2 linked regions of the Macaca mulatta genome follow. The protein of the gene in region 2 binds, or shares a complex with, the protein of the main gene of each other region. Links are inferred from orthologs where the notes say so. Each region holds a gene or a part of one and is shown on either strand. Other genes may lie near its edges.

Region 1 (4,525 bases), on a different chromosome or scaffold from region 2:
GGAAGTTCCATGAGGATAGGGATCATTGATTCACTGCTGTACCCTAAACAGTTCCAAAAAGGTCTGGCACACAGTAGGCACCCAATATGTAACTGCTGAATGCTTGCTGAATGCCAACCTTGCTGCCTACACCACAGTTCCTATGCCTAGAGATGAACATGCTGCCTGGGCGAAACAGGTGCAACAGGCCCACATGGGCCCTCGACCACTCATGCCAATCACCACCAGAGGCTTCCCCAGAAACACTGGCTCTGGGGCATCTGCTCTGCCTTGCCCCTTCTCCTGAGACCTTAAATATGCTCATTCCTTGGAGTTCCTTTTCCAGAGATACATCTGCTCTCCTGGTTCCAGCTGCACCCTTCCAAGATGCCCAAGCTGTTTCATCTTCAATCTGGGGTCTTTGCTGAGCCCTGGGCTCAACTACTCCAACCCTGACCTCTTGGTATCCTCCTCACTGGGGACACAAAGAGGGCCAGTCAGATCACTGCAAATCTCCTTACTAAGATATCACCCCAGGGGCCGTGCACGGTGGCTCATGCCTGTAATCATAGCACTTTGGGAGGCCAAAGCAGGTGGATCACTTGAGGACTTGAGGTCAGGAGTTCAAGACCAGCCTGGCCAACATGGTGAAACCTCATTTCTACCAAAAATATAAAAAACTAGCCAGGTGTGGTGGTGTACACCTGTAATCCCAGCTACTTGTGAGGCTGAGGGAGGATTATCGCTTGAAGGAGGTGGAGGTTGCAGTCAGCCAAGACTGTGCCACTGTACTCCAGCCTGGGCGACAGAGAGAGACTCCATCTCAAAAAAATAATAATAATTTTTAAAAAAAAGATATTACACCAGGGGAGTTCCTCTTCAGTGTCGCCCCAGGGAAGTTCCACTTCCTGACTTCTTGAATTCCACCTGTGGGACTAAGGATGTCCCTGTCACACAGATAGCAAACCTGCCAGTCAATTTGTGACTTCTCACTCTCCTTCCCTGGGCAGCGCCATTAGCCACCAGATCCCACGTGAGTAATGTCTTTATCCCCTATTGAACCCTAACTCCTCATGTTGACTCCTAGAAAACACGTGTCCCAGCTGGGCGCAGTGGCTCACGCCTGTAATTCCAGCACTTTGGGAGGCCAAGGCAGGAGGGTCACCTGAGGTCAGGAGTTCGAGACCAGCCTGGCCAACATGGGGAAACCCCGTCTCTACTAAAAATACAAAAATTAACTCGGCATGGTGGTGTCCGCCTGTAATCCCAGCTATTCAGGAGGCTGAGGCAAAAAGAAAAGAAAACGTGTCCCACAGTCAAGCCTAGGTCTTGTCTGGGGTCAATAAGTAACTTCTTATTGAATGGAAGAAAATAAAGCAGGGTGTTATAACCGGACTGAGCATCAGGAGACCTGGTTTCCTGACCTTGAGCAAGTTCTTTCTCTCTCTGAGCTCAGGTTCCCCACTTGGAAAAATCATCCAATTGGACTCCATGACATCTACAGGCCCTTCCTTCATACATCTGTCATCTAATACTTCATGAAACATTTGCTGAAATGTCATTTCTGAGAAAAAAAACCCACCTGGGTTTTTCTCATTCTTGTGTTGATGGAGTTATAGTTCTCATCAGCTTCCTCCTTCTGGGGCTCTATGGCTGTGGGAAGACACAGGGGTATTGGGGGTACTTGTCTCCATAGGATTTTTAGGGAAATATAATTTATCATAAAATGACTAAGGCTGAGCCTCCAAGAGGAGAAAGTAAGTTTATTTTTCTTTGCATTACATCACTTGAGTTCCCGTAGGAATGCAGAGGCCACCTAACAAAACCCCATCTCCCTGCCCAAAGAATGCCCAGTGGGCAGTGATAACTGTGTAAGTAAATGGTTTCATTGTAAATAAAAGAACCTGAGAGACTGCCTTGTGCTGTGGAGAGTACAATGGCCTGGAGGCCAGAAGACAGAGATGCTAGAACCAGGCCTGCTGTGTGACCTGGATATATCACTGGCTTCTCTGGGCCACACACTCCCCAGATATACCAACAACAGGGCAGGATCAGAGGGAAGGATCTGCCTGAGGTCCCAGTAGCTCACCCTTCAGCTGCAGGCGGATCTCCCTCCCCAGCTGTTTGATCTCGTCGCGCAGGTTCTGCAGCTCCTGCTTCATGCCTGAATAAGAGAAGGCCACGACTCCCAAACAGCAGCCCCCACCTCAACAAACCACCCTGGCCACCACCTGCGTGGAACTACAACCCCCACAATCCCTGGGGCGGAGCATGCGCTATGCAGCCGGGGTTTCACTCACTCTCCTCAGGAAGGGGCGTGGCCAGGATGGTGACCTGCTGTTTCTCCAACTCCTGGACTTTATTCCCCAGCTTGACAATAGTCTGCCGAATTGTCCGGACCTGGGGAGGGTGACCGAGAGGGCTGAAAGAGATATGGGGTACTCCAGACCACGCTGCTCCTCGGGTCCTCCTACCCCCTCGCGAATCCAGGCCAAGACTCCATCCCCTTACCTTCTGGAAGAACTCCTCGTCCGGGCTCCCCAGCCGTGCCGTGCCCGGGTGCACCACCAGCGCGACTCGCTCCTTGTCCTCTTCGTCCGAGCTGTCATCCCCCTGCCAGGCCCGGAGTCATTGGCACCACTGTTTCGCTGCGGCTGTCACCCCGCAGGACCCACAGGCTTCCGGGACTTTCCTTCCTGGCCATCAGCCACCCCTCCCTACCCCGAAGACCAGGAGTCCTGCGTTCCAGTTCGTCCGCGCGCCCCCATCCCCGCTGCCCTGGCGTCTCACCTGCCTCAGCTCGTGGGTCCTGTCCCGCATGGCGGCCTGAGCTCTCCCTCCCCGGCGTCAGACCGGGAGGCCGGCAAACTTGGAATACCCGTACCCCACTCACACTCTGACACTCCCCTCCCTCCCCCTGTGGACCCCAACACCCCCACGAGCCACCAGAGCCTCCGTCCCTTGCACCGCCCACAGTCAATGGGAAGGCGCCGACCCCGGGGACCCCCCAAGGTTCCACAGGTTGGAATTCCCTTTTCTTCCCCCCTCCAGCTCCCGCAGCCTCAGCCCCGCCCCTCCGTGATAAATTCGGGGCATGCGCATATGGTCGCGTCTCTTCCTCGCCCGAGGCGCGGAAGGTGGAGTCGGAAGTTGTTGCGCCCCGAGCGGAAGCGGAGCTGCGTGGACGCGAGAACTGGCTACCGTCACCGGAACCGTTGCATCTTCCAACGGAAATCTGGTTGCCAAAAGGGGTAGGAATACGTCATTTGTACGTAATCTGAGGCACCCGCATCTCACATCACCCCATGGTGCCCCCACCGCGTCACGTGACCAACCCGGTCCCAAACTCGTGGACCGCAGAATGTGACGCTGTGACTGTCACGTGTCCCGGCTCGGTCAGCGCCGTCTCTGGGACGCTGTTTTCATCACGACGTCCCCGGCACTCCGACCACCGAACGACGCCCACACGGCCCCCGCGAGGTGGGGAGGGGCGCGCCCACCACTCCCAGAGGCCTTTCGAGGCAGTGGGTGGTAGGACCCTTGCTGACTTCGCCTTTATTGCTTTCGGGTCCAGGGGCGTGGGCGGACTGACGACTTAGCATTTGGGGCTGTCAGCATCATGGGACCTTGAAAATCGGGAAATAATAGGATCCGAGTCGTCAGCGTCAGAAAATTGCAGGGTTGTGTGGGCAGGGAATCTAGGGGTGGAAATTGACCTCAGCCAAGGCAGAAACCTCTTCTTCCGCATCCTCCTGGCGCAGCCTCTGACAGGTGGGCAGCCAGCCGGCGCCCTCCTTGAACACTACAGCCCGGCTTCACTCACCACCTTGTGGGCTGTCAGACCATGTCAGGGCAGCTCAGGCTAAGAAAAGTGTCTCTGCACGCTGCCTTCCCTGCCACTCACACCCCCCAGACCCTGCCTTGCATCTGAGGCAGGTAATGACTTTGTTCTTAACTGAATCTGGGGAGTTCCTAGCTCAGTACCAAGCACATTACGGGCCCTCTATAAATACTTGTGGACAGAATCTTAGCCTTTCATGTATCTGAGGATGAAGACCCTGGTTCCTTGGCCTTCTTTAGGCTTCAGTCTTTCTGACTGTGACACTTCTCTAATCCTGGCTATCGAGATATTCACTCATTTTTTATTTTTAAAAATTTTTACAAGATGGGGTCTCACTATGTTGTCCAAGCTGGTCTCTAACTCCTGGGCTCAAGCAATCCTCCTGCCTCAGCCTCCCAAACTGCTGGGATTACAGGCATGCACCACCATGCACAGAACATTCATTTAATGGATATTTTTGGGCACATACTATGGGCCAAACACTGTTCTAGGGCTGGAGATACATCAAGGACTAATAGATAAAAATTCCTGCACTCGTGGAACTTAAATTCTCTAGAAGGAGTCCCCAAGGTCATTTAGTAAGTCTCAGCATAGCTGGGAATGAATAACGGGTCTCCTGGACCCCAGGGCTCTGTCCAGGAAGCTTCTGTGAAGGTACAAGCAAGGAAAGGAATGGACCCTTTCTGCTATGCCCTGGTCAGGAAA
Region 2 (4,425 bases):
AGAGGAATGGAATGGAAGAACAGAAATTGAACCAGATTAAAACGCATCCTAGAAGTAACAGCAAATGCTTCAAGGAAGGCACTTACCAAAAGGCATACTATAACTTACTACATTTCATTAAGTCTGACAACCAGGGCTAAACCTGAATTAGAATATGTGCTTCTGGTATTGACCAGACTTTTCTGTATAAGGAATCCAGGCCAAACAAAATAACAGGCAAACTTTTGACACATCTAATCATAGTGAAAGCACAGGACATCCATCACTAGCTCTTCTAGTTAAAATTCCCACAAAAGAAGATGGGGAGTGGGGAATGGTTGGAAGAACAGGAGATAATACGCAAAGCAATGACAACACAAAATCAAAATTGCTTACAAGAATGTATGTTTCCTCTACGTCAGGGGGACAGTGTCCCTGAACAACACAGCCCATGTACTCACTTAAGGTAATGTGACACCTACTCACATCAATACATAGCAGAATTGGAAGTTTCACTGTCACGCGGTCCAAACCTATGACATATGCACAAAGTTCTTCTCAAACATCTCTGAAAAGCAGTCATCACTCTGTTTAATTACTTCCAGTGACAGGGAACTCAGCACCCTACAGGACTGTTACTGTCCCTGAGGCCCATTAACTCAAAAGTCTAAAACACATTTTCACCACTCAGGGAGCGGTGGAAGTGATCACAGGGCTATCCAAAGGGCTTGCCAACTCAACTGTGCCTCTTGTCTCGACCATTCCCAAATCCCCCCTTTCCCTGAGCAGGACTCAAAATTAGCACAGTGTTCATAAATCAGTGGTTTCAGAGTCAGAAGGGACCCTTACAACGCCAATACTGTGATATTCATACCACGGTTCTACAAAAGGAACCCCAGGAAGTGCTTAGGCCAAACTGGGAGGGAGAGTGTCCTGTTTCTCTTCCTCTCATTTCAGCCTAGGAAGCTTCCACTTTAATTTGTTATATATAGAGGACCAGGGTAGTTTTTTAAAAGGAGGAGGAGAAAAAAAAAGACCATTTACAGGTAAATAAACTGAGGTCTTGACACTTGCTTAATGAAATCATATAGCTAACAGTTGCAGGGTTCAGACAACAACCTGGTCTCCTGGCTCCTTCTCTGGTACTTTCTCTACCATATAACATCTGACGGCCTAGAGGGCAAAATTCAAACTCCGCAGTGATATACAAAGCCCTTTAAGATCTCTCCCGGTCCAATTTTTATGAGAGTCCCACATACCAGTCTCACTCAAATGTTTATTGAACCAACTTATATCAGACTCTTACACACCTCCACATCTTAGCGCATACTATTCTTTTAGCCTGAGATGCCCTTCTGCACTGCAGCCAACTAATCCTCTTTCAAGATTTGTTTTGGGCATCATCACCTCTATAAAGCCTTTTCTGATCCTCAGGTAGAACTGACCACATTCTTCTTTGTGCCCTACATAACACTTGCAAGGCTTTATGGCACTTGTTTTATGTCTATGTCCGTCTACTCCACTACTCCTTTTACATCATATTACTCTAACATGAGGCTGGTCAGAAAGTAGGTGCTTCATAGATGTTCATCAATAGGGAGAGTGTATTCATCTGGTCCAACCCCTTTCTGATGTTTAAGTATCCTCTGCTAACTGTCATTAATGCATGCATGCATACATTCATTCGAAAACATCTGAGTGTCTATGCAGTGCCAAGTGTATGCCAAGCAGAGTAGGATTTACTGTGAAATTAATGAGGTTTTAGCTTCGGGGTCCCTCACTTCCATCTTCCAAAGCTCTGAATCTCTCTTGGTGATTTTTATTTCTTAAAGACGGCAGACATAACTATAAAAACTTTCGGCCCCACAAAACCTAGATCCCTCCTTGGTGTCACGGACACAAAAGGGAACAAGACAAACATCTCTCCCCTCATGGAATTTTCTGTTTAACGGGAAAGACAGCCATTTTGTTCATTCATTCATTCAACAAACATTTACTAAGCAATGCTATGAGTCATGCATTGTGAGATGAAAACAACTGTCCCTGCCCTTAAGGAAAAGGTTCCTGTTCCCAGAGAAATGAAGGGACACCTGCTCTGATCAGGGAACAGAAAGTAGTTGAGATGACTGTAACACCGTGTTTGCGAAAGATGACCCTAAACTCGTCTCAAGAGGAACTGAGCCCTACTTATCGCGGAGACAAAGAGAAGAAAGAGTTCGGATGAATATGGTTTTTAATCTCATCTGGGGATGGGAGGCAGACAAGTAAAGAGCACAGGCAAATACGGTGTGGTCAGTTCTGCAACAGGAAGTGAAGGACAGTGAGGTTTCCCCTGAGTGCAAGTCTGTAGTGACGGCGAACTCATGACCTCACAAAGCCGCCCGTGCACTTTCCAGATAGAGATTTCTGAGGGTCTCCTTCCTCGTCCCCCAACCCCCGCCGCCGCAGGAGAAATCTGTTCCCCAATATGCGTCCCCCTTCCTTAAAATAAGGCTGTTCCTTCCCCAAAAAGCTGTCCGGTCTCTGAGGCCAACTCTCCTGTCCCCCTTGGGGCCACCTCCTTCACACAATGCTTATGGGACGGGGTGTGGTTTGGGGCTCGGGGTCCCTGTCGCAGGACTGCCCCCTCCTCAACCCGCCGTTTCCATAGCAACCAGCTCACCACTTCGCGGGCCCGGCTGGAGAAGTCGCCCTTGGGCCGGGGGCTCCGGCGGAACAGCTCATCCCGGCTTCCATCGACCCCGCCGCCCACCGCCACTCCCAGCGCCTTGTTCCGCGTCTTCACGGTCTTGACGCTGGCCCGGAATAGCAGCGTGATGTCCACGGCCATAGCGACCCGTACCCGCAGCCCCACACTGGGCCGGCTCACGTAAGCAGCCGGCGACCGCGGCGAGAACCCGGCCGCTGGAGGACTGGTCCTGCCCCGCACTCCTCCCCACCGGCAACTGCGATGCGAGAAGAAAGGTTCCGGCCTGAGCCCCGCTACCGCGGCGGGAGGAAAAAGATTCCGAACTCAGCGGCGCACCTGGCGGAGGAGGAACCCCGCGACGAGCTCACGGGCACCTCTTTCTCCCGGCAAAGCTTGGAGGGTTTAGCAGCGCGGAGAGCTCAGCGAGCTCTCCTGTGCTTTTTTGGGGCGTGTGGGCTCCGGGAGCGTGAGGACCGGGAAGCTGGGAGGCTCCTTCCCTTCTGGTGGCTCCCTCACTGAGAGCGGGCGGTTTGGTTGCGGGGGACGTGGAGGCGAGCCACCCTTGACCTTTGACTGCAAGGACTCACCTTGAGCAGGACAGAGGCACTTGGACGGTGACCCTCGGGGTGCAATAAGTGCTGAGACAGAGCAGATGTGCAAGGCATAGAGCTAGAGGCCAGAGGTCTTTCTTCTCCACCCTTCAGTCACCTCTTTGTAAAGTGAAGCCAGCATCCTCCTCGGAGTTTACTGTGAAAATTAAGTGAGCTGACGCGTGCTGTGTTTTGATGTTGCTTGGCTCCTAGTAAGTGGCCAATAAATGGTAGTAATCGTTAATAATATTATTATAATCACTCGTATTTGTGGTGATGGAAGAGGCTGTAGAGAAAAGGCGTCACCTGTGCAGAGATTTGAAGGATGAATAGGAACTTTAGATGGAGGCAAAGGTGAAAGAGTGGCCCTAATGTCGCTGGATTCTGTTCTTCCTTCATGCATAGTTTTTAATTGTACCGTCTTGAGCCATAGCTATTAAAATTGACAAGTCAGTCAATGAGTTTCTTCTGCATTTTTGGTTCATGGTTCTGTTTTGTGTTGTTTTTTGAGATGGGGGTCTGCTATGTTGCCCAGGCTGGATTGCAGTGGCTATTCAGAGGCGCCATCCTAGCTCATTACAGACTGGAACGCCAGGGCACAAACGATCCTCCGCGGCTCCGCCTCCTGAGTAGCTGGAACTGTAGGCACTTGCCACCATGGCTGGCCTAAGGATATTCAAAATCTCATTGATTTCTTCAAGATTTTTTTTTCCATAAAGAGGATGCACAAGTAGAATGTGTATTAAAATAGTGGTTTTAATGGTCAATATAAAAGTATTTTCATAATACTAAGATGTTATTTGCCTTTTCACTCTCACTTTCTCATGAGTTGCATACAGTTGAGTTTGCTAGACTGTGATATTGCAACGGAATAAATGCAGAACAGCTGTTTTCTATTAAGCCAGACTTCAAAAAAAAGATTTTCAAAAACATCAAAAGTTTTTAATTTCTCATATAGTGAATGTCGATAATGTCAATATAAACAAAAATTGTTTAGAGCCCTTAATAATTTTTAAGTGTGCAAAAGAGTTGAGACCAAAAGTTTGAGAACACTGTGTTAAAGAAATAAAGTTTATCAGAAATAGATGTCAAGAAAGTGTATATTTACCAGAAAGGAGGAAGGAAAAGTTTTTTTTTTTTTTTTTAGACGAAGTCTTACTGTGTCCC

What was found.
Region 1: STX18 (region 2) and STX4 share a complex: the UniProt entries of both Homo sapiens proteins name them as parts of the SNARE complex. The link is inferred for Macaca mulatta from reciprocal best matches to the Homo sapiens genes STX18 and STX4.

The regions. Positions count from the first base shown.
Region 1 is NC_133425.1:29,670,382-29,674,906, reverse strand, and holds the start of STX4 (syntaxin-4), read right to left. Parts: upstream 3,069-4,525; 5' UTR 2,800-3,068; coding exon 2,770-2,799; intron 2,593-2,769; coding exon 2,491-2,592; intron 2,402-2,490; coding exon of another isoform or gene 2,380-2,401; coding exon 2,280-2,379; intron 2,144-2,279; coding exon 2,069-2,143; intron 1,633-2,068; coding exon 1,562-1,632; intron 1-1,561. Other genes in the region: uncharacterized protein LOC144337996, read left to right, coding at 3,074-3,230, 3,340-3,459. UniProt on the Homo sapiens protein: Plasma membrane t-SNARE that mediates docking of transport vesicles. Necessary for the translocation of SLC2A4 from intracellular vesicles to the plasma membrane.
Region 2 is NC_133410.1:8,445,327-8,449,751, reverse strand, and holds the start of STX18 (syntaxin-18), read right to left. Parts: upstream 2,828-4,425; 5' UTR 2,810-2,827; coding exon 2,642-2,809; intron 1-2,641. UniProt on the Homo sapiens protein: Syntaxin that may be involved in targeting and fusion of Golgi-derived retrograde transport vesicles with the ER.